2 linked regions of the Lonchura striata genome follow. The main gene of each other region encodes a partner of the protein of the gene in region 2 in a complex. Links are inferred from orthologs where the notes say so. Each region holds a gene or a part of one and is shown on either strand. Other genes may lie near its edges. The genes, in order: CPSF7 and NUDT21.

Evidence for each region.
Region 1: the proteins of NUDT21 (region 2) and CPSF7 are in contact, whole or in part, in a crystal structure (PDB 3N9U), measured with the Homo sapiens proteins. The link is inferred for Lonchura striata from reciprocal best matches to the Homo sapiens genes NUDT21 and CPSF7. Residues at the interface, in NP_008937.1 of Homo sapiens: Arg68, Asn152, Glu154, Pro156, Tyr158, Tyr160, Pro162, Ala163, His164, Ile165, Thr166, Lys167; in NP_001129512.1 of Homo sapiens: Trp91, Trp92, Thr93, Thr94, Asp95, Gln96, Glu112, Lys114, Phe115, Glu117, Asn118, Arg119, Ala120, Asn121, Gly122, Gln123, Ser124.

What each region holds. Positions count from the first base shown.
Region 1 is NC_134608.1:53,681,150-53,696,816, forward strand, and holds CPSF7 (cleavage and polyadenylation specificity factor subunit 7), read left to right. Parts: upstream 1-7,886; 5' UTR 7,887-7,919; intron 7,920-8,445; 5' UTR 8,446-8,512; coding exon 8,513-8,566; intron 8,567-10,939; coding exon 10,940-11,158; intron 11,159-11,599; coding exon 11,600-11,703; intron 11,704-11,949; coding exon 11,950-12,095; intron 12,096-13,317; coding exon 13,318-13,723; intron 13,724-13,797; coding exon 13,798-13,916; intron 13,917-13,990; coding exon 13,991-14,156; intron 14,157-14,247; coding exon 14,248-14,416; 3' UTR 14,417-14,421; intron 14,422-14,501; exon of another isoform or gene 14,502-14,553; 3' UTR 14,554-15,528; downstream 15,529-15,667. Other genes in the region: LRRC10B (leucine-rich repeat-containing protein 10B), read right to left, coding at 1,821-2,669; uncharacterized protein LOC116183767, read right to left, coding at 3,744-4,007, 4,082-4,162, 4,291-4,496, 4,937-5,148, 5,219-5,424; SDHAF2 (succinate dehydrogenase assembly factor 2, mitochondrial), read right to left, coding at 6,065-6,195, 6,276-6,385, 7,110-7,318, 7,801-7,815.
Region 2 is NC_134615.1:15,561,013-15,576,106, forward strand, and holds NUDT21 (cleavage and polyadenylation specificity factor subunit 5), read right to left. Parts: upstream 7,406-15,094; 5' UTR 7,293-7,405; coding exon 7,177-7,292; intron 5,048-7,176; coding exon 4,847-5,047; intron 3,735-4,846; coding exon 3,671-3,734; intron 3,011-3,670; coding exon 2,921-3,010; intron 2,262-2,920; coding exon 2,186-2,261; intron 1,792-2,185; coding exon 1,677-1,791; intron 444-1,676; coding exon 422-443; 3' UTR 151-421; downstream 1-150. Other genes in the region: prolyl 3-hydroxylase OGFOD1, read left to right, coding at 8,603-8,747, 9,143-9,259, 10,058-10,149, 11,155-11,280, 11,617-11,730, 12,047-12,126, 12,258-12,553, 13,331-13,453 and 2 more. UniProt on the Homo sapiens protein: Component of the cleavage factor Im (CFIm) complex that functions as an activator of the pre-mRNA 3'-end cleavage and polyadenylation processing required for the maturation of pre-mRNA into functional mRNAs.

The sequences.
Region 1 (15,667 bases), on a different chromosome or scaffold from region 2:
CACGCGGGGCCGGGAGAGGAGGCAGGGATATATATATAGGGACAGACGTATGGATGATGCACTGCCGGCAGCGGGGACTCGCCGGTGCCAGCGGCCCCAAAATACTCGAGCGGAGCCGGAATCTGTCAGATTCCCACTGACTGCGGCAGCTCCTGGTCCTGGTGTCACCACCATCGTCACCGGTGCCTGGATCCCAACCCAGCTCCTTGGGAAAAGCTGGGCGGTGAGAAAAGGCTGCAGAGAGGGAGGATCCCCCCTTATCCCATGTGTCAGAGCTCCTGGATCTGGTCCTGGCCATGGGGACAGGCTGGTGGCATCCAAAGCCACCTGCATCACAATTCCTGCCGAACGAGTGGGCTGGCATGGAGCTGGTGGCATCAGATCTTGCCTACATCAGGAGTTTGGAATGCTGAGGGTCTCTGCCAGGGTCAGCACCCTCAGGATCATGGATGATTCCTTGCTAATTGGCAGCAGTGTCTTCCCAGATAAAGCAGCAGCACCCTGGATCGATGGCATGAAGGGGTGGGAGACACCCAGAATTCCAGGAGCATGTTCCTGGGATGTCGTGGGATCCTGGATTGCTCTGCCCTACAGTGACGGGTACCTGAGTGGGCAAAGGGATCAACAACCTGTACCTATTGGGAAGATCTGATTCAAAGCTCCTGCTAAGCCCCAAATCCCTGAAATTACCCCGGAGGAGCTGGCACTGACAGCTCCTGCACATCCCGCAGCTGAGGAAGCTCCATGTGTCCAAAATAGCCGTGGTTCCTGCTGCGGAATAGGAAGCGGAGGGAAAAACCGGCAGCATCCGCCCTGCCAGTGCCGGAGCGGATGTGGCCGGAGTTCTGGCTGCCTCCCAGCCCCAAACCCAAATCCATGGCCTTTAAAAGCGGATGTGTGGTTTGAAACCTCCAATGAATGAGCTTCAGACCTCGGATCCCCAAGCTTTCCACCACACGGGCTCAGCTCGGGGATGGGCGGAGGGAATCAGGATTCCTTGGATGTCCAAAATAAGAGGAGCTGGTGGTTGCACACCAGGATATGTCACTTGGTTTTAGGGGATCCCAAATAAACCCTTCCCTGAGGCTGGTCCCCACCACTATTCTCTCACAACAAATTCCTCGGATTTGTGCTTTTTATTGCTTGTGTTTGGTCCAAGAGGCACTTGGAGAGAGGAAGAGGAAGGATAAGGTGTCAACCCTGGATCTGGTGTCTGTTTTGGGACAGACAGTGCCAGGGATGAGCCTCCTCTTCCCACAGAGGCAAAACCCTGTTCTGGTTGGAGACAGGCAGTGCTTCAACCCAGGTGGAATTTCCAAACCTGATGGTCAGGAGGAACCTGGTGGAAAATCTCTCCCCCAGCTCAGTTCCAGCAGCAGGATGGGGTTCTCAGGGTCTGTGCCCTTGTTCCCAGACCTTGGAGCTCTCCAGGATGATGGGATCAATGGAATGGATGCAACCAGCAGTGCTTTTTCCTGTGCTGCCCATTGGGATAGGAGTAAAGGATTTTCAGAGGTGGAGGAGTAGAAATGTTCCCATTCTTGTGGGGTGGCAGTGGGGGATCACCCTTAAGGGTAGGGGGTTGTATCCCAATCCAAGACATCCTGGAGTAGGTGGGATGCTCTCAGGTGAGATAACCATTAGGATCGATGAGCCCTGTTGATCCAGCACAAAACACTGCTGCCCCAACTGGATAAGGCTGATCCTTAGACCCTTGTTTTTCCTTTGTGGAGGCTGTGAACTTCCTCCTTTCTCAGCCCTAGATGGGAATTCCTTGGAAGACAGATGGAGGCTCTGCACCCCTTGAGGGGGACAGCAGCTCACGTTTCCTCAGGAGATCCCGTCAGGGCTGCAAATTCCCCCTCCCCATCCTCCGGCCCATCCTCGGGGGATACCGGGGCGGCCTCGGTGCCCTCCTCCTCCTCCTCCTGGCGCTGCAGGCTCTGCAGCCGCTCCTGCCGCGCTTCCATGTATTCCTGCGCCCCGTCCCCCACCAGCTGCACTTCATCCCCGACGCAGGGCGGCTGCCGGACGGGATTGTGGTCGTAGGACAGGAGGCGCAGGGAAGCGAGGCCGGTGAGGTCCGGGAAGCTGGCGATGCGGTTGCGATCCAGGTCGAGGACGCGGATGTGATCCATGCGCAGCAGCACGGGCGGGAACTCCTGGAAGCGGTTCCCGTAGAGCCAGAGCCCCCGCAGGCCGGCCATGCGGGGCAGCGCCGCGGGCAGCCGGCTCAGCCGGTTGTCCCCCAGCTGGAGGCTGCGCAGCTCCGGCAGCTGCAGGAGAGCGCGGGGGAAGTGCGCCAAGAAGTTTCCCTCGATCCAGAGGCAGCGCAGGCTCTGGAGCTGGGCGAAGGAGGGCGGCAGCCCCTGCAGCCCGTTGCGGCCCAGGTACAGGTGCGCCAGGTGGGGCAGGTCGCACACGGCCTCGGGCACCTCCATCAGCTCGTTGCCGTCCAGAGCGAGGGTCCGCAGGTGCTGCAGCTCCGCCAGCTCGTCCGGGACCTCCCGCAGCCCCGCGTCGCTCAGGTAGAGCTTCCGCAGCCCCTGCTGAGCCCACAGCTCGGCCGGGACCTGCCGGCCCCGCACCTCCAGCCGCTGCTCGACGCCGTCGGGGCCCTCGGCTGCCGCCAGCCGAGCCCCACGCCCCGCGGAGCCGCCGCTGCCCATCGCTCACCGGGACCGGCACCGGGACCGGCACCGGGACCTGCACCGGACCCGGCGGGGGGAGGGCGACGCCGTAGCCATGGCAACGCGCCGCGGCCAATGGGAGCCCGCGTCGCTGGGCGGAGGCCACGCCCCCTGCCCATTCATGCCCCGCCCCGCCGTTCGCGCCCGTTTAGGCCACGCCCCCTGGTCATTCACGCCCCGCCCCGCCGTTCGCGCCCATTTAGGCCACGCCCCTGCCCATTCATGCCCCGCCCCGCCGTTCGCGCCCGTTTAGGCCACGCCCCCTGCCCATTCACGCCCCGCCCCGCCGTTCGCGCCCGTTTAGGCCACGCCCACGGGGTCCATTCACGCCCCGCCCCGCCGTTCTCACGCCTACCCGGCCCCGTTCCTGTCCCGCTTGTCCCGGCTCTGTCCCCAAACCAGGCAGAATTCCCTCGCACCCCAGCATTCCCAGCCCCTCTTCCAGCAGCTTGGCATCAGCGCCCTCAGCCTGAACTGGGTGTGAGGCTCTAAACTGAGTGTGGGGTCCCTGGGCTGGGTGGGAATCCACAGCTCCCTGAGCTGTGTGTGGATGCCTTGACGGGGTGGGGGTCCTTGAACTGGTGTACAATCCCTCTGTGATTCCTCAGATCCCCTGGGACCCTGCCGGGAGCCACTCCTTAGGGCACAGATCCCCTTCCCCATGGCCAGGGAAGATATGGATGAAGCCTCTCCAAGTGCCCCCCGTGCCATGGCTGCCCACCCTGCGGGGTCCTTCATCCTCCTCATCCTCCTGCTTCCCACCATAGCCCTGCCTGGATTTTCCTGCCGCAAATCAGCTGTGTCATCCCAAAGCCGGCTGGGAAAGCTGGAAAGCCGAGCTCCTACAGCCCTCCAGCGGCAGCTGGCCAGGTGACAGCCCCCAACCACCCAAACCCCTCCTGCCAGGTTTTGGGATGCAGGAAACCCCCAAAATGGGCGAACAATTCAATGGCATTGCACAGGGTTTTTATTCCTCCTAGGGAGATTTGGGAAAAGCCGAGGATGGGACTCCCAGGATGCAGCAGCACTTTTGCAGGGGGTCACGTCAGGGGGTCATCGATGCGCCACAGGTTGGTGGGCTGGTTGTTGGTGCTGAAGCCACTGGGACTTGGGATCTGGATGCCCTCCACGGATCTCGGGGCCCAGGTGATTGGAGGCTGTGCCCACCAGCCTGGAAAATCCAGGAGGGATTGGTGAAGGGGGTGTCCACTCCTCTGGGGGCTGTGATCTCCCCCCCGACTCACCTGGTGCTACGGGGGCCAGCGGCGAGAGATTGGTCAGGTACTGGTTGTGGACAGTGCTGTATGCCAACGGCTCCTGAGGGATGCAGCGGGTTGGGAGCATGATTCCTTGGGAAAAGGGATGGGGACAGGGGACATGGCTGCACCCACCTTCCAGGTAGTGACTCCCTTGGGTCCCACTTGCAGCTCCGGCGGGGCGAAGGGGGCGGGATGGCCCATGGCAGGTTGGGGCTGTGTGGGAACACAGGGATGATCCTGCTCATTCCCGTGCCCAGGCAGCTGCCTCAGAGCCCACTGGGAGCAGTGGGAGCACCAGGACAGGACGTCCCCTGCCCTTGCCACCCTCTCCCTTTGCTTACAATGCTGCATTTGGCAGGAACGGAATCCATCCGACCATCACCAACATCAAGCTGTGGGAGAGGAAAAGTGTCCCCTGGGGTGCTGAGGGGTGGGGGGACAGGGGACATGATGGGCACGGGGCTCACGGGCTGCTCTGGCATGGTGAGGCCGCTCCTCTGGGTGGTCCCGGTGCAGCCCGACAGCTCCGTCGCCCTCGGTGGGACATCTGTGGGGAGCAGATGGAGCAGGGATGTCCCCTGTGTCCCCAGGCCTGGCATTACCTGGATACACCTGTCCCACTGTGTTTGGGGGGGAGCAGGGAGTCTCCAACACTCCCCAAACCTCCTGAGGTCTGACCTGACTCCAGGAACACTGACACCCCAAAATCCCTCGAGCTGGCTGTGGCTCTGGCACCATCAATAATCCCAAAACATTCCTGATGTTGGAGCTGGACCCGGAACCCTCAGGGCCCCAAATCCTCCTGTGGTTGGAGGTTTCCTAGGAATCCTAACACCCCAAAATCTTCATAAAGACAGAGCTTTCTCTGGGATCACCAAGACCCCAGAATCTCCTGGGAATGAAGCTTTCACCAGGATCTCAACACCCCAAAACCCTCCTACTAAGGCTGGAGCTTTCCCTGGGATTCCCAAGACCCCAGAATCATACCTGGCTTGGCAGGACTGGCGCAGTGGCTCTGGATGCCATATTCCCCAGATCTTTTTGGGGCTCTCACCTCCCCGAAACGGAGGCGGGAAAAGGAGAAGTCAGTAGGACACCGACACCCCGGCTCATGCACATGCTCGGGCAACATCCTTTGGTATTCCGGGCGCCCGAAGACCTTGAAGTCCTCGGAGGTGGTGGACACGTCCGTGTCCTGGCTGCGGTGGGAATGGCTGTGATGGAGTGATCCCAAAACGAGCCCCCCAGACTCCTGCAGCAGGGACCTACCGCTCCACGTGCGGGGAGATCAGGGGTCCCAGTGCCGAGTAGTTGTTGGTGACGTATCCCGAGCCGGTGTGGATGCCGAGGAGGGGGTGCATGCTCCTGTCACCGGGGGGCTCAATCCCCAAAACACGGCCCTTCTCCAACTTTTGGGGTGACCCTGTGGGCCTCTTCCCGAAGGCCACCTCGTAGGAGGTGATGTAGAAGCCCATGAGCTCAGAGGGGGGGCCCCCTCACCATGGGGAACCCCGTCCCCAACCCCGCGGCGGGCGAGTCCTGCGGCAGGGACGGCATCCTGGCTCTGGGAATGGACCCCTGGAGCTGGGAATGGCCCTACGCCATGGCTGGAGGTGTCTGGAGGTGTGGGGCCCTCCCAGCAGACCCGGAAGCTGTGGAATGTGCCCGTGGAATGCACTCTATCTCCCGGTAACCGTCGCGGGGACCTCCCGGGAGGTTGTCACTGGAGGGCAGGAGGTCGGACAACCTCCTGGGTGTCCTGGAGGGCACCAGGAATGCCCCACTCCAGCTCCACTACGGCCCCCACACGGGGTTGGGCTCACCTCCAGGGGGTCCTGGGAAAAGGGGCAGGTGGGAACTGGGAGTATCAATGAGGTGGCATGTGCCAGGATCGACCTGGGAATGTCCCCGAGGGCCTGACCCCAATGTCACAAAGCAGGAGAGGGGCAGGGCCAGCAGCCAGGCAAAGCCGGTAGCCAGGGCTTTATTCAGCATTCCACGAGTGTCCAAAGGCTGCTGGGAGAGGAGGAAAATCTCAGGGAAGGTGGAAACGCCATTCCAGAGCCCCATGTCCCTGCGCTACTCCAGGGAACGGGGACAGAGGCATCCCCTCCCTCAGCGTGGTGGCTCAAACAGGTATTCCAGGTCCGGCTGCCGGAGCCTCTGCTCCCTGTTCCTGTTTTTGGCAAATTCCCTCAGCATGGCCATCACATCGGTGTCGAACTCCGTTGGCGTGGGCTTCGCTTCTGGAGGGAAAACAGGGAAGAATCAGCCGTGTGCTGTCCCACGGCGCCATGCCGGTGTCCCGGGGCGTGGCCACACGTACCAGTGGCCCAGTAATAAATGTCCCAGTCGTTACTGGGCTCGTTGATGAGGCGGTCGTAGCGATTCAGCTGCTCCTCGCTCATGTGCGCCAGGTTTTCCTTGGCAAAGAGGCTGGAGAGGGGTGGATCAGGGTGAGCGGGAGATGAAGGAAGAGCTGGGATATAAGAACCAGCTCAATGTGAACCTGGAAAACACAGACCCCCAGCCCGCTCTCCCTCACCTCAGCGGGTGGGAAAACACCGTCAGAGGAGCTGTGGAATCTCCACCCCTGGAATCCCCTTATCCAGCCTGCTCTGGTGGAAGGTGTCCCTGCCCACAGCAGGGGGTGAAACTGGATGATCCTTAAGTCCCTTCCATCCCGAACCATTCCAGGATTCCATGGGCTTGTTCACATGAGATATTGGGAAGAGATTCTTTCCTTGAGAGGGTGGCGAGGCCCTGGAATGGACTTCCCAGAGAATCTGTGGCTACCTGGAAGTGTGTTGCCTACCCTGCAAGTGTCCAAGCCACGTTGGACAGGGCTTGAAGAAACCAGGAATAGTGTAAGGTGTCCTTGAGGTCCTTTCCCACTCAAATCATTCCAGAATTCCACAATTCTATGTGTCTAATCTCTCCTTCAATCCCAAAATCCAACTGACATTGCATTCACATGTCCCACAATTTACATACATCCTTCCCAAAGGACTTTGGCTCACTGAGCTCTCCCAGCTCTACTCCATCATTGCATCCTGGATCAGCAAGACCTTGGAGCAATTTATCCCAAGGATTTTTGCAGTACCTCCATGAACTCTGCCTTGTTAATGAAAGGACCTGGAATACTCAGAGCCAAGCCCACCTGAGTAAGATGCAGTTTTCCAGCATGCCCCTTTTCCTGCTCTCATACAGCAGCCGGGCTCTCTTGGTGTCCAGTGGCTCGTCCAGACGCTCCTGCCAGGGGGGCAGCGGGATCTCCAGCACATCCTTCCCGGAATCCGTGGGGGAATCCCCCCGGTAGCCGCGCTGCGGGATCAGCGGCCACAGGAGATGCCGGCGCAGGGAGCAGAGCTGGAGGGAAAGCACAGGGATATCAGGACTGGGTGTGCCTGCACACAGGGACCTCTCCAAATCCTACTGGACACGATTCCCAATCCCACACCCCCAAACCCCGCTGCCCAGACCCCATAAATCCCCCAGACCTCCCTTTTCCCCCCAGATCCCCTTTTGTCTCCTCAGACTCTTCTCCTTTTTTTCTCCCCTCTTCCCACAATACGCTAATTTTCCTCCCGTCCTACCCTTCTCCCAAACTCATCCCTTTTCCCCTACTTTTCCTTTCCCCTCTCTCTCCTTTTCCCCCCTTTCCCTCCCTTTTCCCCTTTCCCCTTTCTTTTCCCCCTTTCCCAACGTTTTTCCCCTCTCCTTCCCCTTCTACCCCCTATTTACCCTTTTCCTCCCATTTTAACCTGCTTTTTCCGCTCTCCCTCCGTTCTCTCCCTTTGTACCCCTCTCCCTTCCCTCAGCCCTCCCAGCTTCCCCCCCTTCCCCCCCACCCTGGCCGCCGCCATCTTGCCGCGCGCCGCCGTGGCCACGCCCCCTCGCGGCTCTATGGGGCGGGGCGTGCCGGAAGTGGGCGTGGCCCCGCCCGGAAGTGGGCGCGGCGGCGCTGGCGGTGAGCGCGGGCGGCGCGCGCGGGGCTGGGATCGGGGGAGGGGGGGGCCCCGGGCGGGGGGCGCGACCTATCGCGACATATCGCGACCCGCCGCCCCCTCCCCTCACATCCCTCTGCCCACAAACCCCCCGGCCCGGGCCCCGCCGCTCCGCAGGGCCGCATATGGCGGGGACGGGGCGGCGCGAAAAGGGGGGGGGGGGGCAGTGGGGGATCGTGGGGAGCACAGGGAATTTGGGGGGAATCGGGGATTTGGGGGGGAGACACGATATGCAGGGACAGAAGGATCTGAGGGAACACGGGGTTTGGAGGGAAATGGGATTTGGGGGGACACAGGGATTTAGGGGGAAGAGGGGATTTGAGAGGCAGGGCGGATTTAGGGGGTAGAAGGGATTTGGAGGGAAGACAGGATTTAGGGGGACACAGGGACTGGGGTGGGGAAATGGGATTTGGGGCACACGGGGATTTGGGGGGACGCCCCCAGCAGGTCCCCAAGGCCTCACTGACCCGCTGCCCCCCCCCTCCCCAGAGCACCCTCCGTGTCCTGGCTCCGCCCGGTCCCAGCCCGGGCTCCCGCTTTTCCCGCCTCTGGAAATATGTCCGAGGGAGTGGATCTGATTGACATCTACGCCGACGAGGAGTTCACCCAGGTGAGGGCTGGGATAGGGGGGAGATCCCCCCTTTCTTTTGGGAAGAGATCCCAGTGTCCTGCAGCTCATCCCAGTGGAAGATGCAACTGGTGTGGCTGGGAAAAGGGAAGGATCATTCCCGATCATTCCCAAGTCTCTGTGGTTGCCACCTCCAGCTGTGATTAAAGGGTTTCCCTGTGGCTTGTGACACGTGGCTGGTCACGGAATGTTTAGGATTTAAGAGCTTAGCTGTGTCCTGGTTGGAAAAATGAGAAATCCCAGCTGGAAGAGGCACTTCTAGGGAATTTCGCTGTGAGGGAATACCAGGAGCCAAATCCATGGGATCACCTAGGCTGGGAATCTGTGCAGGAGCTCGCTGTTCCTGTGCTGCTTGTCCCATCCCAGGAATATCTGGGATTCAGAGGAAATGATGAAGGAAAGGGATGTTGGAGAAGCAGATTTTAGGGAGTTCATGGTTATGGGAAAGCAAGTGCAAAGGCAGATGTTGGAAAATTCAAAACTGCCATGGAAAGCTTGTGGAAGCAAGAGAAGTCATGGAAACTGGAAGCAAAGCACCCAGAAGAAGGAATCACCATGGAGAAAGGAATTCCTGTGAACTCCTGGAGTGATCAAGAGAAGCTTCTTCTGGTTATTGGGTGAGAATATCCCATGGAATCTCCTGTGAAGACCAAGTGGACAGAGGATCCTCAAAGCTGGAATGATGATCCAGGCCAATGACTCTGGCATGTTCCTCCCTTTGGGATGTGTGTCAGGAGAACACCTGGAATTAATCCATGCCAGGATCAAAGCAGCAGGGAAGTACTGTGGTGTCCCTGGGGCACTCCAGAGATGCCAGTGTAATTCCAAATCCCACATTCCCACGTGGTGATTCCCACTAACAGTGCCCAGCTTCATCCCTGTGCACCTCAACTCAGTGTGCATGGATGGGGATCAGGAGAATCCCTAAAATCTCCCAAGCTGCATCCCATAAAAGTAGCAGAACTGAGGGATTCCAAGGGATTCTTTCTCTAGCCCCTCCTTCATATTTTTGGTCTTGACTTTCTGAAACTTCCAGGTGGGAATCTTCCAGCCTTGGGCTGTGTCCAAAGGCTCCTGGTGGAGGTGGGAGCGTGGGAGTTGGATTAACCAAACACTTGAGCTTCTCTGGGAAACGAACACAAAACTACAGCTCCCTTTTCAAGTCATTCTTTTATCAGCTCCAGGGAAAGAACTGGATGCAAAAGTTCAGGGAGAGGAAAAATGGTTGGATGTTTGGATTCCCGGGCTTCCACTATCCTTGGAAAGCTGCCTGCTGAGCATCCTTCTCTGTCCAGCTCCCAAGAGGATGTTTGCAATTCCCTGACCCTCAGACTGTCTCCAGCAAAAAATATTGTCTAAACTGCCTGGAATTGAAAATCTGGGAGCAGAACCTCTGGTTTTTATGGCACACCAGCTCCTGTGGGATGGATCCTCATGGAGTGATTTTGTGGGATGAAACATTTGGCACAATCTGAACAAGGAACTGGGATCCATAGTAAACACAGCACTTGCTGGACAATCCAAACAGTGGGAATTGGGAGGCAGATCTAGGACATGCTGGAATTCCCAGCTCTGAAACTTCCTGAGTTCCTCTGCCAAAGGGACAGATCCAATTTGTGGGAGCTCCTACCCTAAAAAGGGCTTTTTTCCCAAAAATAAGGAAGTTTGGGGGGCTGGGCATAGTTTGAGGGGGTTATGCAATTCCCAAGTTGGAGTTTTGGGAAGAATGTGTTGCCAAGGAGTGATAGGCTCAGCCCTGGAGGACATTTGGTTTTCCACCACTGAATTCTTGCCCTCCAAATTGGGAATTTCTTCCTGGTGGCAGCAATAGGGTCTTGTCCTGTTGTGTGGGATCCAAGCGGGCTGGTCTTTGGAATGTGCTGGAGCTCAGTGGGGGTTTAGATGAGATACTGGGAAGAATTTCTTCCCTGTGACGATGGTGAGACCCTGGAATAGATTTCCCAGGGAAACTGTGGCTGCTCCATCCCTGGAAGTGATCCAGGCCAGGTTGGACAGGGCTTGGAGCAACCTGGGATAGTGGAAGGTGTCCCATGGCAGGGGGTGGGATGGGATGATCCTTAAGGTTCTTATTCCAAACCCAACAATTCTAACCCCAAATTCTGTTTTCATGATTCCATGAAAACAGACATGAAAACAGAAGCATCATCCTGTTTTTTGGGATTGTCCAGGCAAGGGATGGCTGTAATTCCCAAGCGTGCACAGACCCAAACCAAGTGATTTGGGCCTTAAACCTTTGGACTCAGCTTGGAAATTCCACTTGGGAATTGGAACAGCAGGTTTGGAAAGAGCAAAGAAGGCTTCCCAAGCCAGGATCTCATGACGTTTTCCCAGCAGGACCCGGAGTTCAGTAATGCTGACCAGATGGATCTCTACGACGACGTGTTAGCAGCCAGCTCTCAGCCCCAGGAAAAGCGTTCCAGCAGCTCGGAAGCACCTCCGGAGATCCGTCAGGAGCCGTCTCCCAAGCCCAACAGCAAACCCCCAGCCATCCTGTACACCTACAGCGGGCTCCGGAACAAGAGGGCTGCAGTCTACATCGGGAGCTTCTCCTGGGTGAGTTCATCGTCCTGAGAAATTTGGGATTCCTGGTGAACCTCTGAGGGGCTGCTGGGCTCTCTAGGGAAGTGGCAGGGATTTTGAAGGGCCTGCTCCTCCTCAGTTTCAGCTGGTCTCCCGAGCTGGGCTTGGCTTTGTGATCCTCAGGGAAAAGGAATTTGTATCCCTGAGGAGCTTCTGGGCTGGGGTATGTGCTGATGTCCCTTTGAAGCTGTGACTTTGGGCTGCTGCTCCTGAGTCACCTTCTTCTGTTCAGGGATGCAGGAATGTTTTTGGGAAGGCTCTGTCTTGTCCAGAGAACTTGTTGCTGTTATCCATTCCCAAAGCTTGTTCCGGATGATTTTAAGGTCCCTGAGGAAGTCTGGGGGTGACATTCATCAGTTGGGTGGGGGATACTGGGGACAGACATGGATACCAGCCTGTTCCCTATGCCCTCAGTGGACTACTGACCAGCAGCTGATCCAGACCATCCGCTCCGTTGGAGTCTACGACGTGGTGGAGCTGAAATTCGCGGAGAACCGAGCCAATGGCCAATCCAAGGGGTAAGAGCCAGTGGAATTTCAGGTGGGAATGGCAGGAGCCAGGTCCTCATTGCCACATCCGTTGTTTTGTGGAGGGTGAGAGAGCAGCTGGTGCTTCTCTGGCCTGGCACAGGGAATTCATGGAGCATCCCAAAAAGCATGGAAAAGTGAGGAGGGGGTGTGGAACAGCAGGATGGGATCAGAAGGAGGGTCTGGGGGGTATCTCTGCAGCAGGTTCAAGGCTCAACCTCCCTCTCTCCCACGCAGGTACGCGGAGGTGGTGGTCGCCTCCGAGAACTCAGTCCATAAACTCCTGGAGCTGCTTCCCGGAAAGATCCTGAACGGAGACAAGGTGGAGGTGAGGCTGGCGACCCGGCAGAACCTGTCGCAGTTCGAGGCTCAGGCTCGCAAACGTGAGTGCGGCGCCGGTGAGGTGGGTGGGGGGTTCCATCTCACACACATCCCAAATTCCCCCCCGGATCAGCTGCCAGGCCCAGCCCAGCGAGCCCTCGGGATGGGGGGAGACCCTGCCAGGAGCGTCTGGGGGTTGTTTTTCCTATTCCTGAGCCGGATTAGCTCCTGACCCGAGTCTTTATGATCCCCTTTTAGGTGCTCCCACACTGCGAAGATCCCTCGTAGCCTCCTCCTCCTCCTCTCCAAACTGAATGGGCTTAAGCTCTTCAGGCTCTCAGCATAGCTAAGACCCTCCATATCTATTAGTAGCTCCTCTCTGGATCTGCTCCAGAATTTTTCCATCCCTGCGGAGGTAAGGTGCCCAACACTGGAGGAATATTCCAGCTGGGGCCTGGCCGTGGGCGTCCCTCAATGGCAATAGGTGGTCCTGGCCTCACTCCGCAGCGATGCGACGGGATCCGCAGGGATTGTCCTGGCAGGAGCGTGTCCGAGGAGGTCTTGGCCAGCTCTGGTCGTTGTAGATCCCTTGGCATGTTTTGTGCAAGGAAAACTCCCCCTTCCCAGCAGAGTTGCTTCGCTCCTTTCCTTTGGCTTAGGTGCCCGAGGGGATCGGCTGCTTGGTGCTTAGGCTGTGTCCCAACTTGCCCTGCAGTTTTGGTGGAGCAGGGAGTGTTCTCTGGGCCGAGTTCCGGCTGCCCCCAGGGGAGAATGGAGCTCCTGTGCACCCTTTGGCACTGCTGGGAGCCGTGGCTCCTGTCACACCCCTTCTTGTCTCATCCTCAAAGCCTCTTTGGATAGAACAAGGCTTCTTCACCCTCTTGGAATGCTGAGTTTTCCTTCCTCTAGCAGCAGCTCCGTTGCTGTCAGCACTTGGGTTCTGTCCCCTCGTGCTCCTCCATGCTTGGACCTCTCCAAATCCATGTGTGGATCTCAGGCTCTCCGGGTCTTTGGATGTCTTTGGGGATTTCTCACCATTCCTTGTTGCTTTTGGCTCCTGTCCCTGTGACCTGCCTGTCCCCAGGGCACTGTGTGGGGTCTTGCTGGAAAGCTGGGCTCCTCTTGGAAAAACACATGGAAGTGGAGGCTATGCGTGGCCGGCTGGATCTCTCTCTGGGCACCTCCAGCCCTCCAGGGGTGGGAGGAAGAGGAGGAGCAGGAGGTCTCGGAGACCCGGACACCCTCCAGCTGCACCTCACAGGCCTTTCCCCGTGCCACTTCCAGGTGTGCCGCCGCGGGCCCACTCCCGGGATTCCGTGGATGCGGTGGATGGCCGGGCGACGCCGACAGAGAACGCGCTGCCCCCTGCCCGCATGGAGAAGCCTCCCTCGGTCCTGCCCTTCTTCAGCCGCCCCCCCGCGCTGCCCCTCATGGGGCTACCCCCCCCTCCCATGCCCCCTCCGCCTCCCCTGTCCTCTGCTTTCGGAGTCCCTCCTCCTCCTCCTGGAATTCCCTACCAGCACCTGCTGCCGCCGCCGCCCCGGCTGCCCCCACCCCTGGCCGTGCCCCCGCCAGGGGCTGTGCCCCCTGCCCTGCACCTCAATCCCGCCTTCTTCCCACCACCCACCGCCGCCCTGGGACCCCCTCCGGACACCTACGGCAAGGCCATGGCTCCCTACAACCACAGCAGGTGAGCTGGGCGGGAATGGGGTTGGGATGCTCGGGGAGGATCCCGCTGAACCCCTGTTCCCGCTGTGCCGACAGCCGGGAGCTGGGCCCGCCGATCCCGGCCGTGAGCGAAGGCGAGTTTGAGGAGATCATGAACCGCAACCGCGCCATCTCCAGCAGCGCCATTTCCAAGGCGGTGTCCGGCGCCAGCGCAGGTACTTCCCGTGTCCCTCCTGTCCCCCATCCTGGGATGGATTCCCACGCCTGACCCCCTGCTCCGCTCCCCCAGGGGATTACAGCAATGCCATCGAGACTCTGCTCACAGCCATCGCTGTCATCAAGCAGTCACGCGTGGCCAGCGACGAGCGGTGCCGCGTCCTCCTCTCTTCCCTCAAGGATTGCCTGCATGGAATTGAGGCCAAATCCTACAGCAGCAGCTCCAGCAGCAGCTCCAGGTATCCCCCTGGATCCAGAGGACGGGATCCTCCCTGCAGGTGAGTGACTAAAAAAATCACTCCTTGGGTTTTGTCTCCTCTTTCCCCGAAGGAAAAGACACCGATCTCGGGAGCGCTCTCCCAGCCGGTCCCGCGAGAGCAGCCGGCGGCACCGGGATCTGCTCCACGGCGACGATCGGCACGAGGATTATTTCCAGGAGCGGAGCCGGGAGCATGAGCGGCATCGGGACAGGGACAGAGACAGGGACCGGCACCACTGAGACAGGTGGGAAGCTCAGGAATCCCCTTGAAGTGTGAAGGATGAGGGAAAGGCACTCCCACCATTCGTCTCATCTCTCCCAGCAGGAATTTGCAGGAAGTGGTTTTTAATGGACTCATATCTCCTCACCTCGACCAGGATGCCGTGCCCGAGGCTGCTCCGCCCCATCCCGGTCCCTTCCTCGCCACCGCAGCCCCCTCTAGGCGGGACCCCCGCCCACACCTCGTGGCCTTGGGAATCCCCCCCACCACTGCTGCTGCTTCCTGGGGCCATCCCACTCTGCTCCGTGGATACTCGGACCCAAAGAGAAATGGTGCTTTTATTCCATGGAGGGAGGTTTGTGAGCCCTTCCCAGTCCGGGGGGGAACGGAGGAGACGGAGCCCTCCCTGTGCAGCTTGGGGGCTTAGAGATGCACAGCTCCCGATCCTGGGATCAGGAGCCATGTGCCATCCTCTGGATTGTCTGGGGACACTCCCGTCCCCATCACCCTGGTGGGACACTGTGCCACGCTCCTTCTTTGCCCCTTCACCCTCCAGGAGCTGGGAAAAAGGGGCTGGAGGTGGGTTGGGGGTCATCCTGTCTATCCCGACATTCCCCACAGCAGCATTCCCACCCAAATGGCAGCTCCGGCCTCTCCCGCAGAGCCTTCCTTGTTTTAGAGGAAGCGGAAGAGGCAGGGCAGGCTGTGACCCCCTTGTGTCCCCTCAGAATCCCAAGAAGGAGAGGGAGGGAGAGCCCAGGAGGGTCGGGATGAGCCAGGACACACTGGGTGATTTTCAGGGCTGGAATCACACTCGGATGAGAAAACCCAGGCCCTGGAAGTCTTTTTAAGTTGAAATAACCCAAATCCAGGAGAAACCACCCCGATTTTCCCAAGCCCCACGAGGTGGGAGCACTCGGCGGGAGAGCTCCGGGTTTTTTTTTACTTACCGCCACAGATTTTTAGTTTCTTTCCAAATAGTGGAGAGGGGGGAAAAGATTCCCCCCCAAATTGCAGAGCAAATCCCTGGAAGCCCCGGCGAGGCGCCGCCCCTCCTGCTCGCAGTGATTAGATTTGTCTTTGGATAGGTTGGAATTGTGTAATAAACTCAGATGACGTTGTCAGTCTTTTATACAGTGCTCCTGTTGCCTTCCTACGGTGGGATTTGGGATAATGAGAGAATGGGAGGGATTTGGGGAGGTCTGTGCACCCGTTGTCCCTCACCCTCTTCCTCCTCCAATGGGCTCCTGTGCTTCCCAAACTGGCTCTGA
Region 2 (15,094 bases):
CTGAAGAAAATAATAAAGCTTAAAATATGCATCTAAGAGACAATAAGGAAAAATAAAAGAACTAATAAACAGAAGGAAAAACAAACCAAACAAACAAACAAAAAACCTAAAAAAAAACACAACAAAAAGCAAACCAAACCCAAGACAAACTGAATCTTAACCATATTGTTTAATGTTGTACAAAACAAAAAATTGGTGAGTATTACAATGATAAGGGATTATAACACTGGTAGCCCATTGCCATCTCTCTAGCTAAACAGTTGAAATTCACTTCTCTGTTCATACCCTAGAATGTTTAGTGGTCTTCAGGAACAGAAAGACTTCAAAAAATCCTTGTGTCACACATATTCGTTTCTCTACAGTTCAAAGCTGTGCTCACAGAGACGGCTTCTTCTACTGGAGTCTTCAGGTATATAGGAACTCAGTTGTAAATAAAGTTGAACCTAAAATTAAAAGGATTATACCAAGTGAGGAATTTTGATTCTTTTTTTTAAGGGCATTTTTGAATGAATAAGCAAATGTTTTGTTTTTGCTCTGGATAAGCCTCCACCTGACAGGACAAAAGTACATTTTTTCATAAGACAGCTTTACAGTATAGCAGTATATATATCATTTTTAACAGCCAATCCTACACTAGCATTGCACAACTGTCTCTTATGGTTTGAGAAGAACTAACTATTAACATTTCATGTCCTAAAACAAGGTCACAGATACATAAATCACAGTGAGAGTTACATTCCTCCATCAGCAACTCTTTTGCAGCACTTCTGCTACTAGACCAACCTTACATGTTCCAAGGGGAACACACAAACATACTGAAGAGAGAATTTTTCCCAGCTAAGTTTCATAAATAACTGTGGAAGCAAGCAATCCATCTCAGCTTCCAGGTGCCCAGCCTTTGCATGTGTCTGTTGCACCACTACCCAACCTGCATGACAGTTTGGCTGGTACTCAAGAGGAAATACCTGCTGTCTTTAGAGGAGGGGAAGCCAAAATTTGGGCTAGAGAGAAAAATACTCAGCAGGAAATAAGATTATGTGCAAGACCAGTGCTAACATACTTTTTTCATCATAGTAGGTAGGTGACAGAACTACTTCCCTGAGGAAGAGCTGGCAGGCTGTGGGACTCCTAGTATGCCTGAACATGCTCTCAAGTAAGAGACCAGTGAGCTCTGGAGAGACAAGCCACAGCCATTCCCAGGTAATAAAGTCAAAGCATGGTATACATTCCAAGAGAAAGGAAAAAATACAGCTGTCCCTACAGATATTTGTGTCATAAAGATGCTACACTTCATTAGCTCTACTAAAGAGTGTAAAAAAACCCACCACATTTAACCAGCACAAAGCTGTGATAATATGCATACCTAACTCAGTGCTTCAAATTTACATCCTGGCTTTAACTCTCCAGCTGTCTCCAACAACTACAAGAAGCTGCTCCTCAGTCTGTGCACAGCCTCATCCTCACATCTTCCATGTGTTCCTTAACTACAGCTGCTAGGTAGGACTTTGGTGCTAGCCAGTTGTGATCAGTGCCTCAAAAGTGTCCATGCAGTTCATCTGAAGCAGAATCTTTGGGATAGATGCCACCTTTTCAAGTTGGTTTCTGTAGCACCTTGCTTTGCTCTGGTGTCCCACAGGAAACCATGTTCCCAGAGCCACTATACAAATACAACATACCTGCTCAAAAGTTGAGGAAGGCTGGAAATAATAGGTCCATATCCTGGTGCGTTGTCATAGAGCTCAAACAGTGGTGCAGCAACCAGCTTGTAATTTTTGGGGACTGCAAACAAAGCTAAAAACAAATACAAGTTGATGAATCAAAAAAACCAGCACACATTCAGCCAAGGGATCATCATTCCCCACAGACCTCAAAACAAGTTCACTACATAGAGCACTCAACCAGGTTTATTGCTTTTTTAGTTAAATATGGGATTCACATCCTGTACACAGACTGATGCAAGCAGGAATAAAAATTTACTAGGAAGTCATGTTCAAAGGATCATCTACCTTCAAAACAAATACCAGCATTTAACTTTGTTAGTGATCAACCACAAACAACTGCAAGCATACACATCTTGGTATAACATACCACAACATACACAATCACAACTTTGTGTTCCTTGAGTGAAATGCAGGCATTTAAATATTGTTACAAATACAACCCTTTGATCCAAACAAACACTTACCCTTTTCTTGAAGCTGGACCAAAAATAGCTTTTTGTGTTCTTTTGGCTTTGTAATATGAGCTGGGATATATGGATACTAGAAGAAAAATGGTAAAAAACAGTTGTACAGAGCTTTGAAAATACTATGTAATCTTAAATGCTACTTTATAAATTATCAAGCCCTGTACAAGTTTTCAGTGTGTCATATATTATTCTTTCATGGCATCAAATAAAACCATTTTCATAAGAAAGTACTTAGGAAAGGAATGCTGTTGCTGTCACAACTATTGACAGGCTCTAAAGTGGCATCAATATCATAAGCAGTTAAAACAACCCAATAAAACAGAAATGCATAAAAGCAAACTAAGCAAACTAAACAAAGATTTTCAATATTAAAGCCCTTAGAAATAGGGTAGTGAGACTAGGGCATGTTCCACAAGCAGCAGTACAAGAATCTCCATTGTGGCTACAAAAGGAATATAAATGGTGCATATGTCTCAATGTAGAACTGGAAGCTACTACATCTAGTGGTTTCTCATCCATCAGGACAGGTGTGAGAAGGAAGACAGGAATTTCCATTAAAAAAAAAGGCTGTAGTTTCTCTTCAGTCATAGAAAGGAGATGAAATAGACAAAACCCAGAAAAACAAATTGCTCATGCAGCAGGTACTCAAGAAGCCCATCTGGAAGGTTGAAGGCTTTTAGAAGTACAGACAGAACTTGACCAAAGAAGATGGAAGCCCACGGGAGTACTCACCTGTGGAGGTTCAAAGTTTGGTCTCCACCAGTTGCCAATGCAGTCATCAATCACCCAGTCTTGCTGAACACCATCCTGACGACCCAGTATCTATCAAAAATCTAGTACTAATCAGACCTCAAACTACCTCAAGGAAATTCTTTTATTAAACACATACTAGAAACAGAAAGACTTACTGCAATATATGTCTGATGTAGTTCATAACTGCTCTGAGACAGCTTTCAATAGAACTGTAGAGTATTTTTATATAAAGTGAGATTTTTCAGTAAAAGCTTCACCTGGTAAGACCAGGACACTCTAGAAAGCTTTTCAAAAATCTATGCTGTACTCAGCTGGACTGAGTCCTATCAGACCAATTGGAAGAATGCAATACATTGTTACATTAGCTAGCAGAATTAATTTAGCTACTTGGAGAAAATGGTGCATTGAGAGGACTATCTCAAAGGCAAGTCCCCAACAGCTGTCCTCCACAATATATTTTATTGCTCATCTCTACACTCACTTGCCTGAAGCCAGTCAGAAAGCAAAGCTGCAAATGAACACAGGACTTGAGCAGCAGGTAGGAGTCAGCCACACTCATGATGCAGATAAATGAAAACTTGACTGCTTTATTTGTTAACTACCTGAGAACATCACAAAAGCAACAAAATAACAACAATGGTAAGAAGACTACTCTAATCTTTATCTTATTCTGGTAATTCTAAAATAATGCAACATTCTCCTACAGCAATATAATGACAGAAAACAGACCTCTGTCATTAAGCGTTTGAGCCCTTCCACCTCATCTTCTCCTGGATTGAGTTCACCACCAGGTCTGTTAAAATAATCAATGATGAAAGTCAAAGTTATTTTATTGCATTTACCAATCTTCACAGCCAAGTTCCAGTGTGCTTCCAGGCTTATGGCTCTTAAGTTAGGAGTTAGAGATCTAGTTTTGCTGAATTGAAAGACAGCAGCATAGCTTTCACCTCAACTGAAATTAAAATGGCTATTTACATCCCATAAAAAATAACCATTACATAAAATACTTTCAGTTCAGCAGGACAAACTATAACAATACACATGATAAAAACTCAGTCCCTTATAGGGTAAAGTTTTAATAATAATAACCAGAAGCTGAAGGGCTGTAAATACTGCCTGTATTTGTTCTTATCACAAAGCCAGCACTAACTGAAGCATAGAGAAAGCAGAAAATAAAACTCATGTGGGAAAATTATGCAGGATTATTAATTTTCATCATTACAGCATTTTGCAAATTGTTTACATTCTTGTCTAGTCTGCAACAGCCCTTCAAATCAAGATGCCAAAAACTAATCTAGATTAGTTAAATTACTTAACATACACACAAAATTGAGAACAATCTAAAATGTTAAAACAGAAGAACAAGAACACAAGCATGGTAACATGAGACAAGTCAAGGCCATCTAGTATAAAAAATAAAATCACCACCATCACTACATCTGTATGCAATCACTAGAACTTCAGTCTGGCTGTGATAACTATGAGATGAACTGAAGCAATTTTCTCAGATTTAGATGCCTACCTTTCTTGCTATCCCAGCTCAGCTATTAGTTTGTAAGCAGGTATCATTCTGCATTTACAGGGGGTTAGTCCTTGGCCTCCACTTGCCCATTTTTACAGGCACAGCATAAGCGACTGAAGCATTGCAGCTTTCACAATGCAAGTACAACACATCAAGTGCTGGTAATGATTTTTAAACAAGATTTTACTGTAGTGATGCACTGTAACTAAGATTCCCAGTCAGTTCCAAACTAAATCATCCCCCTCACAAGCAGAGTCAAACACACTTTAGATTGAAACCACACCATTCAAAAAATACTTTCCAACTATGTCTTTTAACCTCTAGCCCACATTTACTGGTTTGTGACAATAAACTGCAGTTACACTTAGGAAACAGACACTTACAGCTTGAAAAAAGTTGTACCCAGCTGCAGTAACAGCACATGGGGCAGCCTGTGCTCATGCACAATCAGAACTCCTTCCACTGTCCGCCTCATGCCAATCTTGTCAAACTCTTCTCTCATGCGCTGAAACCGAGCTGCCACGGAACTGTCCTTCTCATACAGAGGCTCCTTTGTACCAAACGTGTAATTCGTCAGAGGATACCTGTAAGGAGAAAAAATGTTACTGCGTAACAAGAAATCTAACTTTAAATCACCATGACACAGCATCTACCCTGAGACAGATCCTTCACTGCTTGATGGGTAAAGTCATAGTGCAGGGCTAAAAATCTTTGTTGGTGGCTTATGAGGCCCCTGTCCCAGGGAGATCTGCACTATAGAACAAATAAGCACAGACAGTCCTGTTGAGCTGCACTCTAGCCTGGTGTAGGCTCAAAAGAAGGAAAAGAAGCACAGAACCAACTGTTGTTCAACAGCCACCCTCTTTGATCTCCATGCTGCAGGGAAAAGGCAGGTGAAACTCTGCTAGGAGCTGGAAAAGAGACTGGAGAAAAAGCTCTCCTGGGAAGGAAGGAAGCTGCACAGGACTGCAGGTTTTCTTCTGCAGATATAATGAAGCCTGAGAACTAAACTGTTAGAAGTGGTTTTGTTTTGAAGTGGGAAATCAGACATGTGGATCACAGAAGAGGAGACATGCTGAGTTTCTGAGTACAGGGTTGGGAACCTAGGGTAGGATCAAGAGTGTGAGCAGATCCCTCTGTTGGGCTGGTGCTGGGTGCCTGCACTCCTGTAACAGTGCAGTGGAAACTTGTCGATTTCTGAAAACAAAGAAAGGAAAGGTTAGGCAAGAAATGGGTCAGCCCAAGACAGCAAGAGGGCAACAGGGGAGTGCTATTGTACAATTAAATCCATTTAACAGAGAGGTCTGGTGGCAGGAGGCCTGGAGGAAAGACAGAATCACCCAGCTAAGTCAAAAGGGAGAAGAAAATGGTTCTGGGCAGAGCAGCGATGAGTTATCACCATGGTTTTACTGACTTGTGGCACACAGCAATGGAATTAACAGAATGAATGACTGTCTTATGTTTTCCTTGAGATGCTTCTTGGCATGGATTCCTTCCCCAGACATGTCAAACTTTAGTAGCATACGCTCTTCTCTCCTCAAATTCCAGCCCTCCTCTTCCTCCAATTTTCCTAATGTTTTACAGTGGTTAAAATAACAAGCCAGTTACCATTGTTGGAGCCTTTTCTCATGTAGACAAAACAACTAGCTTCCAAACCACAGGTTCATTTACTAACAAGCTCCCCCACTTTTACTTATAGTCTAAAACCATCTACATTTCTTTCTCTCTTCATTTCCATTCTTAGATACACAAATTACTTTAATAATAACCTATTAAGCTAACCCATACTATACTAATGTGGATGCATTAGTCTGTACATCAAAACCCTCAGCTTCAACTTAAAAAAAATGCTGCTGGTAACACAGCTTCATTATGAGTCTTTGCTTCAGAAACCCGATAGAAATATTGCAGTTTCTGAAGTTCATATTTGAACTTCCACATGACTCTGTGAATAAACTCAGCTACACAAAAAAACACAAAAGTGTCAGTGATTAATAGCTAAAATTAAATATTGACTGTTACAGCTACCATTTGCTGGTTTTTGCAATTTGATATATGCACATAGCAAAGAACACGTCCCAAATCCACCAGATTTACTGGAAGAAGCAAAAATATATGACTTCTCATAAAAAATACATTAATACTTATTAGTAAGTAGTTTGTCTCTATTACAAATTTCTGTGGTAGGAAACACTCCGAATTTTATCTCCAACACCTGTGCCAGATAATCCACAATCACCAGGCACATCCAGCCACATCCCACTGACTGCCCAGGATCAGCTCAAACCCCAGCGAGGCTAAGACCCTGTCTCTCTCTGCCGTCTTTCCGGATGCCTGTGAGAGCAAGAAAACGTCTGTGATGCTCACCACACCTAGACCTTTCCTGTGTTACTTGGGGTTCACAACTCCCGAGCCAGACGCTACTTCTAAGCACTAAAACATTTACACCAAATCCTCCACATTCCCACGAAGGCCGGCAAGCCCTCGGTACCCTCAGCGCGGCTCAGCAGCCCCTGTGAGGGGGGCGGGCCCCATCGGCACTCGGGCTCTGCCACCGCTGTGCCCCAGCCCTCCGAAGGGCCAGGACCCTCCGGACCTCGCACGGCGGAATCGGAAGGAAAATCCCGCCGAGCCTGCCGAGGGAGCGGGGATGAGCTCGCCAGCGGGGCGGGACGGCGGGGGCAGAGCCGGACAGGCCCGAGGCGGCGCTCACAGGTTGATGGTCCTTTCCAGCGTGAGCGGCTTCGTCTGCTGGATGTACTTGTTCCCGAACTGGTTCACCCCGCGGGGCCAGCCGGTCTGAGAGCGGTTGGGCGGCACCACGGACATGGCGAGAAGCGACGGGAACAGGCGGCGGGAGCGCTCAATCACTTCTGGGCGGCGGGAGCGCCGTCCGCCATTAACGCCCGCCCAGCCCTCAGCGCCGCGCCGCCTGCTGGGACCCGCCGCGCCGGCCCCGCCCCTCCCGCTCATTGGCCAACGGCTCCCCGCACGATACGATTGGCCATCGCTGGCGAAGCGCGGGGGCCGCAGGGAGTTGTAGTCCGGCCGGACGGTACCATGGCCGCCAAGCGTCACGGAGCGGCGGCGCCGGCGGCGGCCAAGCGCGGGAGGCGCGAGGCGCGCGCGGAGCTGAGCGCGGCCCTCGGGGACGCGGCGCTGCGGGAGCGCGCGGGGGCGGCCTGGGCCCGCGGGGAGCGGCTCCGGCACGGTACGGTACAGCACGGCACGGTCCGGCCGGGCCGCGGGGAGCGGCTCCGGCACGGTACGGTACAGCACGGCACGGTCCGGCCGGGCCCGCGGGGAGCGGCTCCGGCACGGTCCGGCCGGGCCCGCGGGGAGCCGCTCCGGCACGGTACGGTACAGCACGGCACGGTCCGGCCGGGCCCGCGGGGAGCGGCTCCGGCACGGTACAGCCCGGCCCGGCTCCCCGCCCCTCACCGACGGCCTTTCCCTTGCAGAAGCGGTGGTGCTGGAGCCGGCCCCGTTCCGGCACGGTGTCATTCCCGGTTTCCTGGCGGACCCGGCTTTCGCGGAGGCGCTGCGGGATGAACTGCTGGGCCTCGGCTTCCGCGGGCGGCGGAACGACCTCCTGTCGCTGCGGCAGGTGGGCCCGGGGCCGGGCTGAGCCGGGCCGGGCTGGGCCGGGCCGAGCCACGCTAACCCCGTCCCTTCTCTTCCATGGGCCGCGCAGTCCGAGGAGCTGGGGGCAAGCCCGGAGCCCCACGTCGCTGCCCTGAGGTGAAGCGCGGGCTCGGGGCTTTGCCCGCTCAGGGTGGGGGGAGAGCCGTGCTGGCTCCACAGCGAAAGCGGGGTGGGCCGCCTTCTGCCCCCATACTCGGGCCAAAAACCGGCTGTGGAGAGCTGGATCTGCTCTGTGCTTGTCATGGGCAATGAAGTCTATTCAGCTTTCATCCATATTCAGCTCTCCTGCAGCTGTCACCTCTGACAAGCTTCACAGTGCACCTTCCCACTGGTTGCATGTTTGCTGCTGATTATTGCCAGCAGTGCTGTGAGCACGGGGCTGTTTTCTTGGCCAGTGTGATCCTACAGAAACACACTGTCACTCACAGCAACAGCACCTGTAACCATTTAAACAGTTAGCAGGGAGGCAATACATTAATTTAGTCTATGATTATATGTTTTATAACATAGGACACTTACTGTGTGCTTATTTTCTCAGGCATGCACTGTGTGAAGAATTCCAAGTGTGGCTTTCTGATGTGACCCAGATAGTGCTGGAGCCAACTATTGACATATCCTGTGCTAAATATGAATATACTGGTCAGTCTCTAAGTGATCCTTTCCCTAGAGCTTCTGTGTATGTGTAGGGAACAAAACGTCTATAGAACACCTACTTGTATGCTAGTTCCAGAGGGTCCTAGAGGCTGTCAACAGCAAAACTGTGAAAATGAAGTACAAATGATGAAACAACTGTTGCTGGTGTATAACTGCCTGTACCTTCAGAGTGGCCTGATCTGTCAATTGCAGTGCAGTCCCACAGAAGTGAATCTTGCAGATTTCAGGCTGCTGATGCCAATGAGTGAAAATGTAGTTCTTAGAAAGAACATGTTTTTTCTTGTCGTATCCTTGCGGGGACAAAGCTGGGAAGCAGTTGTTGGCATGAATGATGCATGTACTGGAAAGATGCTACAGCAGCAAAACATGTGTAATTGCAGATGTCTTGCTGTGCCACGATGATGAACTGGAAGGTCGGAGAATCGCTTTCATCCTATACCTCGTCCCACCCTGGGAGAAAAGTGACGGGGGAACATTGGATCTGTACAGCACAGATGGTAAAAGCTCCAAGCTCAGCCTCAGATAGATGAAGGAGATGAAGCTTATGTGCCCCTTGCAGCAACTCTCACCCCAAACAGTAGAAGGGAAATAAGGAGTTTCTCCTTTGTTCGGAGAAGCTGATGTAAAGTGTGCCCCTTAGGGATAGGCTTTGCAGACAGGCAACAGCAGACAAACTTTTGGAGGGGTCAGGAGTAGAGGCAAGATGGAAGTGATGCCAGTAAATGTGCTTGGAACTCCAGACTGATGACAAAAACTTCCCTTTCCAGCAGCAGAACCGCAGAATGGTTTGGGTTGGAAGAGATCTTAAAGCTCATCTTGTTCCAGCCCGCCTGCTGTAGGCAGGGACATGGTCTGCTAGACCAGGATGCTACAAACCCCACTGAGCATTTATAGGATGGGGCATCCACACTTTCTCTGGGCAACCTGTGCCAGTGCCTCACTGCTCACAGTGAAGAATTTCTTTCTAATAGCTGATCTAAACACACCCTTTGTTTCAAGCCATTCTCCCTTGTTCTGTTATTCCATGCCATGTCTGTCCTAACTCCTTCTACAGCACTCTTGGTAGCTCCTTTTGGTACTGGAAGAGGCTTTAGGTTACCCTAGAACCTTCTCTTCTCCAAGCTGAACAGCCCCAACTCTGTCTTCCTGTCTCCATGCAGAGATGCACTGATTCCTCACCAAGCCCTTGCTCTGAGCTCCATGCCTTATACCCAGGTGTCCCACCAGTCACAGAATCATGTTGTCAGAGAGAAGTCCCAGTTCCTTTCTTAACCAGAGTATGTTTTCTTCTTCAGAACACTTTCAGCCACAGCAAATCACCAAGTCATTAGTGCCTTCATGGAACACACTGGTTTTCTTTGAAGTGTCTCCAGTCTCTTTCCATCAGGCAAGGAGCGTTCTCTTGTTAACTTTTTAATCCTCATTGTTGTGGTTATTCATTCTGTGTGTTATTACTGTCCTGATGGGGAGAGAGAAGAATGGTGGGTAGAGTGGATACTTGTGCTAAGTGCTGTGTGCTAAAGAAGGGCTTCAAGGACTTGAAGGAGGACAAGAACCAACAAAGCCAACTTTAAACCATCAGTCTAGCTGCATCATCCTGTGAAAGAAAAATTTCCATTTCTATTTTGTGTTACTATCGTGGCAAGCCACTGCTTTGAATTTAGCTCTCGCTTGTTTGTTAGCTTGTTTTAAACTAGCTCACATTTTTGATGTAGTGGTCATGACTTTGCTCCAGAAGAGCTCCTCAGGCCATTCATCACCTTGCCAACAGTGCAAGGGCACTTTGCAGATCTGGCTGTACACCCTCAGTGGCACAGACATGGTGCAGTACCCTGCAGCAGAAATGCTGATACAGTTAAGGAATACTCTGTGACACTTGTCGGGAAGAAGCCTGGGAACAGGATGAATAATTTGGGGAGCTGCATGACACAAACACCTGACTGAAATCTGACACTCCTGTGTACCTGAGAGTACCAGGGACATCAAACAAGGCCAGAGAGCAGAAGGCTGGGGAGGAAGATGATCAGTGATATAGGTTGGGCATGTCCTGACATAGGCCACTTAGGGGTCTGTTTTTGTGTCATTTATGTCTTACAGTTGTTAATTAAGAGCAGCATCTACTTGGGTTTAATTTTGTCTTAAAAATCCATTACTCAAATCTCCCAGAGTAAGAGAGAGAATGCATTCTCTGTGAACTTGGAGTAAAAGCTTAGACTGGAATTCTGGAAACCTGCAATGGACTTCAGGACAATAGGCCTCTCTCTGATAATCTGTCTGACATACCTGTGTGTGCAGTGGGCTCTCTGGAGCAGAGTCCATCTCCTGTTATGAATTTGCTTGGCACTGGTTACGCCTGGTCTGACCCGTGACGTGCTGCCCGCCGTTGTTGCAGGTGTCAGAAGTTGTGTCGCAGAAGTGCCGCCTGTCAGTGAGTGGTTGGTTCCACGGCTCGCCTGTGGCCAGACCTGCACGGCACATTGAAGCCCCCTTGGCCAGAAGCCCACACATCCCCTATGATGTGAGTAACAGTATATCTGCATTTCTGTCTCTGTCCTGTTCCTGTAATACCTGTTGGGGAATGCATCAATGCACTGGGGATGCTTTAATCTTTATCCCATTCTCCTTTTCATTTCCTGTTGATAAATTTGTATCCAGTTTCTTTCTTAGGCATCTTTGTATGTTTTGCATACCTACAGTAGTTCAGAGAATGTGGTGAATACCTGTGGTGCAAGGAAATAAAGCAATGGAGTGTGTTTGTGTGTAGGAATCCAGCTCTGTGGCCAGCTCAGTAGGAGGAATTAGGGAATCTTCTTCACTTCTGAAAATTCAGTGTTCTAATCCATTTCCCTTCCAGCATGAAATATTGTATGAGTGGATCAATCAAGTTTATTTGGACCTGGACTCCCAAGCTCAAATCCAGGAGGAATTTGAGGAGCGATCAGAAATTCTCCTGAAAGACTTTCTTAAGGTGAGCCCAGTGGTTGAATTTGATGTGATCTGCCAGAACTGGTCAGAGGGCTGGCAGGTACTACATGGCACGAAGGCTGGGAGAGGACTTCCTTGCACATCCATTAAAACAAAACACCTTCTAAGTTTCACACCTAAAAATGGACAGGTGACCTCCAGAGGCTCTTTCCAACCAAAAACCACTCTGATTCTGTGGAATTATCCCCTCTGACTGCCTGTAAACCACTGCATCAGGACTCAGCAAAAATAGATCACTTGTCTTCAACCTTGTTTTCTTAGGAGCTAAATGTTAACATTTCTGCATCTCTTTCTCCTAGAAAGAGAAGTACCAACTACTATGTGAAGCATTGGAGAACAAAGAGATCCACTGGAGTAGTCGAGGGCCAGCCAATAAAAGGTGGGGAATGACAGCACGCTGCACCAGTGTGCTGAGCAGGAGCTGCCAGGAGGCTGCACTGGTCAGTGCTATTGTTATAGATGTGGTCCTTGTTGGCTCTCCCACAAGGAGATACATCTGCTGTCTTTCAGACTCTATGAGGCAGCAGAGGAACACAGCCTCCCTGACACCCTGAAGAAATTCCTGCAGCTACTTCGCTCTGAGGCCTTATTTTTATTGCTTTCCAACTTCACTGGCCTAAAACTGCACTTCCTGGCTCCCTCTGATGAGGATGAAGATGCTGGGGAGGGACAAGCAGCAGACACCAGTGGGCAAAGCAGTCCCAAATCTGAGCAGGAAGAGACTGAACAACGAGCCAATGGCAATCCCCATCAGCCACACCAGCCTGAGAACACCCCTGAAGCACAGGATGGCGAGACTCAGAGCAGTGAGTAGAGCAGCAGCAGTGAAAAAGGATTCAAACAAAATTCCCAGTGATTTTCATGGAACTAGTGCTTCACCTAGTTTGTTTCACCTTGTTTGTGCAACCAGCACAAACATAGGACTTGAAGCTTTTTAGACTGATTATCTGAAATCAGTGACCATTGCAAAAGAATTTGGAGTAAATCAATGATAATTTGAAGATGCCATTTTGAACAGACCTAAGTCCTAAGGGTGGGACTTTTGGGGGGACTGCTCATCTTCTGTCAATAGTTACATGGTTTCTACATCCATGTACCCCTACGTCATATAAAGCATATTCTTGTATGAGATAATAAATCCAAAAGAGACAGGTGAACAGGTCAGAAGTAAAACCATTTTAGAATTAGAAAATTGATACCTAAAACTAGGATTCAACCTTTCAGAAAACACCATCAGCCTAAACAACCTTAGTTGAATTTAGTTGTCAGCAGTGACAACTATGAAAGATTAGATTAATTTTGGGTTTTGATTGATGATGTTTATTTAAAAGAGTGGCTCTGAAGTTTAAAGGTAGAGTTTTTGAAAATGCTCATCTTGCACTAAGACAAGTTAGTGGACACTGGAATAAAAGGTAATATAAAAACAAGTCCTACTTAAAAAATCCCATCAGAGCAGTTACCAGGACCAAAGGATGTATGGAGCAAATCTCACAGTGGTGTGAGATCACTGAGCTCCTCACACGCTTTGAGCTCAGCTGATGTGCCTTCATGGCTCTCCCTTGGGTGTTTGTGCCCTCTCCTAGGCTCAGGAACTCCTGTGTGTGCGGGGGAGCTGCGACGCTGGACCCACGGGCACTACACTCTTGTCCATGATTCTCAAGCCACAGAATTTGCTCTTGATCTGCTCTTCTTTTGTGGCTGTGAAGGTAAGTGGATGAGAGAGAGATGTCAGACTCTCCTTTCACAAGACTTGCATAAAGGAATGACTTCTGAGTGGTCAGCAGTTCTAAAACACACAAAATTTCCCTGCTTTTTCCTGCATAGAAGGTTTCTGTAGACTTTGTCTTAGTCCTCACTTCGGCATAAACCCTGTTTCCAGTAGTCCTCATGGAAAAGTTTGGGATTGTGGCCTTGGAATCATCTCTGGCCTTTCCGCTTGCGCCAGGAGGTGGCGCTTGGACAGGGGGAAAGGCTGAGCAATGGCTCTGGGTGCGCTGCAGGCTCAGGTGGCCACAGTACCCACCAGGAGTGTTCTACCCTTTTCTCATCAGAATTATTACTACACGTCCAGTTCACAAAGGTCAACGTTTTCAAAAGTTACTTTAGGCATACCTAGGCATTTTGGGTTGATTGCTAGTTAGATAGTGGTAAAACAAAAAAAAAAAAAAAAAAAATTAACCACAAGCATTTTAGACCAGATGAGGCCAAAATGTACAGCTGACTGAAATCCTTTGGTATATCTGCTAGGGTAGAACTGTTCTACAGGTGAGGAGCGGTGCACCAAGCAACTTTAAATAGCTCATCTACCATAAAAGGCAAATCCAGTACACTTGCTTCAAGTTGTTTCTGAACAGAAGAAAACAAATAGACTGGCAGGAGGTAAATACTTACCCTGTATCCAGTAACTTTGGAGAGCAAGGTGAAAAATGGCATCTCCTGGAAGGCTGTGTGGAGCATGAACAGCACTGTGGTTTCTAAGAATGTTTCTTTTCTATTTTAAGAGTGGGATCCTGAATATGGTGGCTTTACTTCCTACATTGCTAAAGGTGAAGATGAAGAGGTAAGGACCTCAGTAGCTAGCTGCAAATCAGATGAAACTGTATAGGGTGGAGAGACATAATTACACTTTGTCTTAATGCCAGCATAGTGCTGAGGGCGCTCAGTTGCGCACTGGAGCCTCCCTGCCCCAGTCGCTGCTCGTGGGCAAAGCTCTGGCCTCAGAGCTTTGTTAACACAAAGCATGAGACCTGGGCCCTGAGAGAGCCTCATGGTACCTGCACCTGGGGCTGTTTGGGAAGCCTGCCTGGAAGGGACACAAGGCTGTAGCAGGGATAACACTTGCCCAGGGAAGTGCTGTTCACTGGGATCCCATTCAGCATCAGTACTAGAAGCCCTTAATGTATAACAATGCTTCAGGTAAAGGGTATTAAAATGAAAATAGTGTCACAGTGCATTTTCTAACACCAACCCTTTGTTCTAACTAACTTTTGAAACAGTTTTGTTTTTTCTGAAGAATTTTATTAAAGCTATTTTTGTGAAATTGATTTACTTCCTTATCTTTGTATTCCCTAGCTGTTGACAGTGAATCCAGAGGAGAACTGCTTGGCCTTAGTTTATAGAGACAAAGAAACTATGAAGTTTGTGAAATACATCAACCATCGAAGCTTGGCACGCCTGAACAAGCATCCAAACAGAACAGGATTTTGGGATTTTTCCTTCGTCTATTATGAGTGATGGTGTAGTATGACCACTGTCACAGAGAAGAGTAGTGGGTGGTGGACAGGTTCCTACCCAGACATTAAGCTGACAAACTTTGCTCATGCAATTCAATCACACTGCTTAATGGA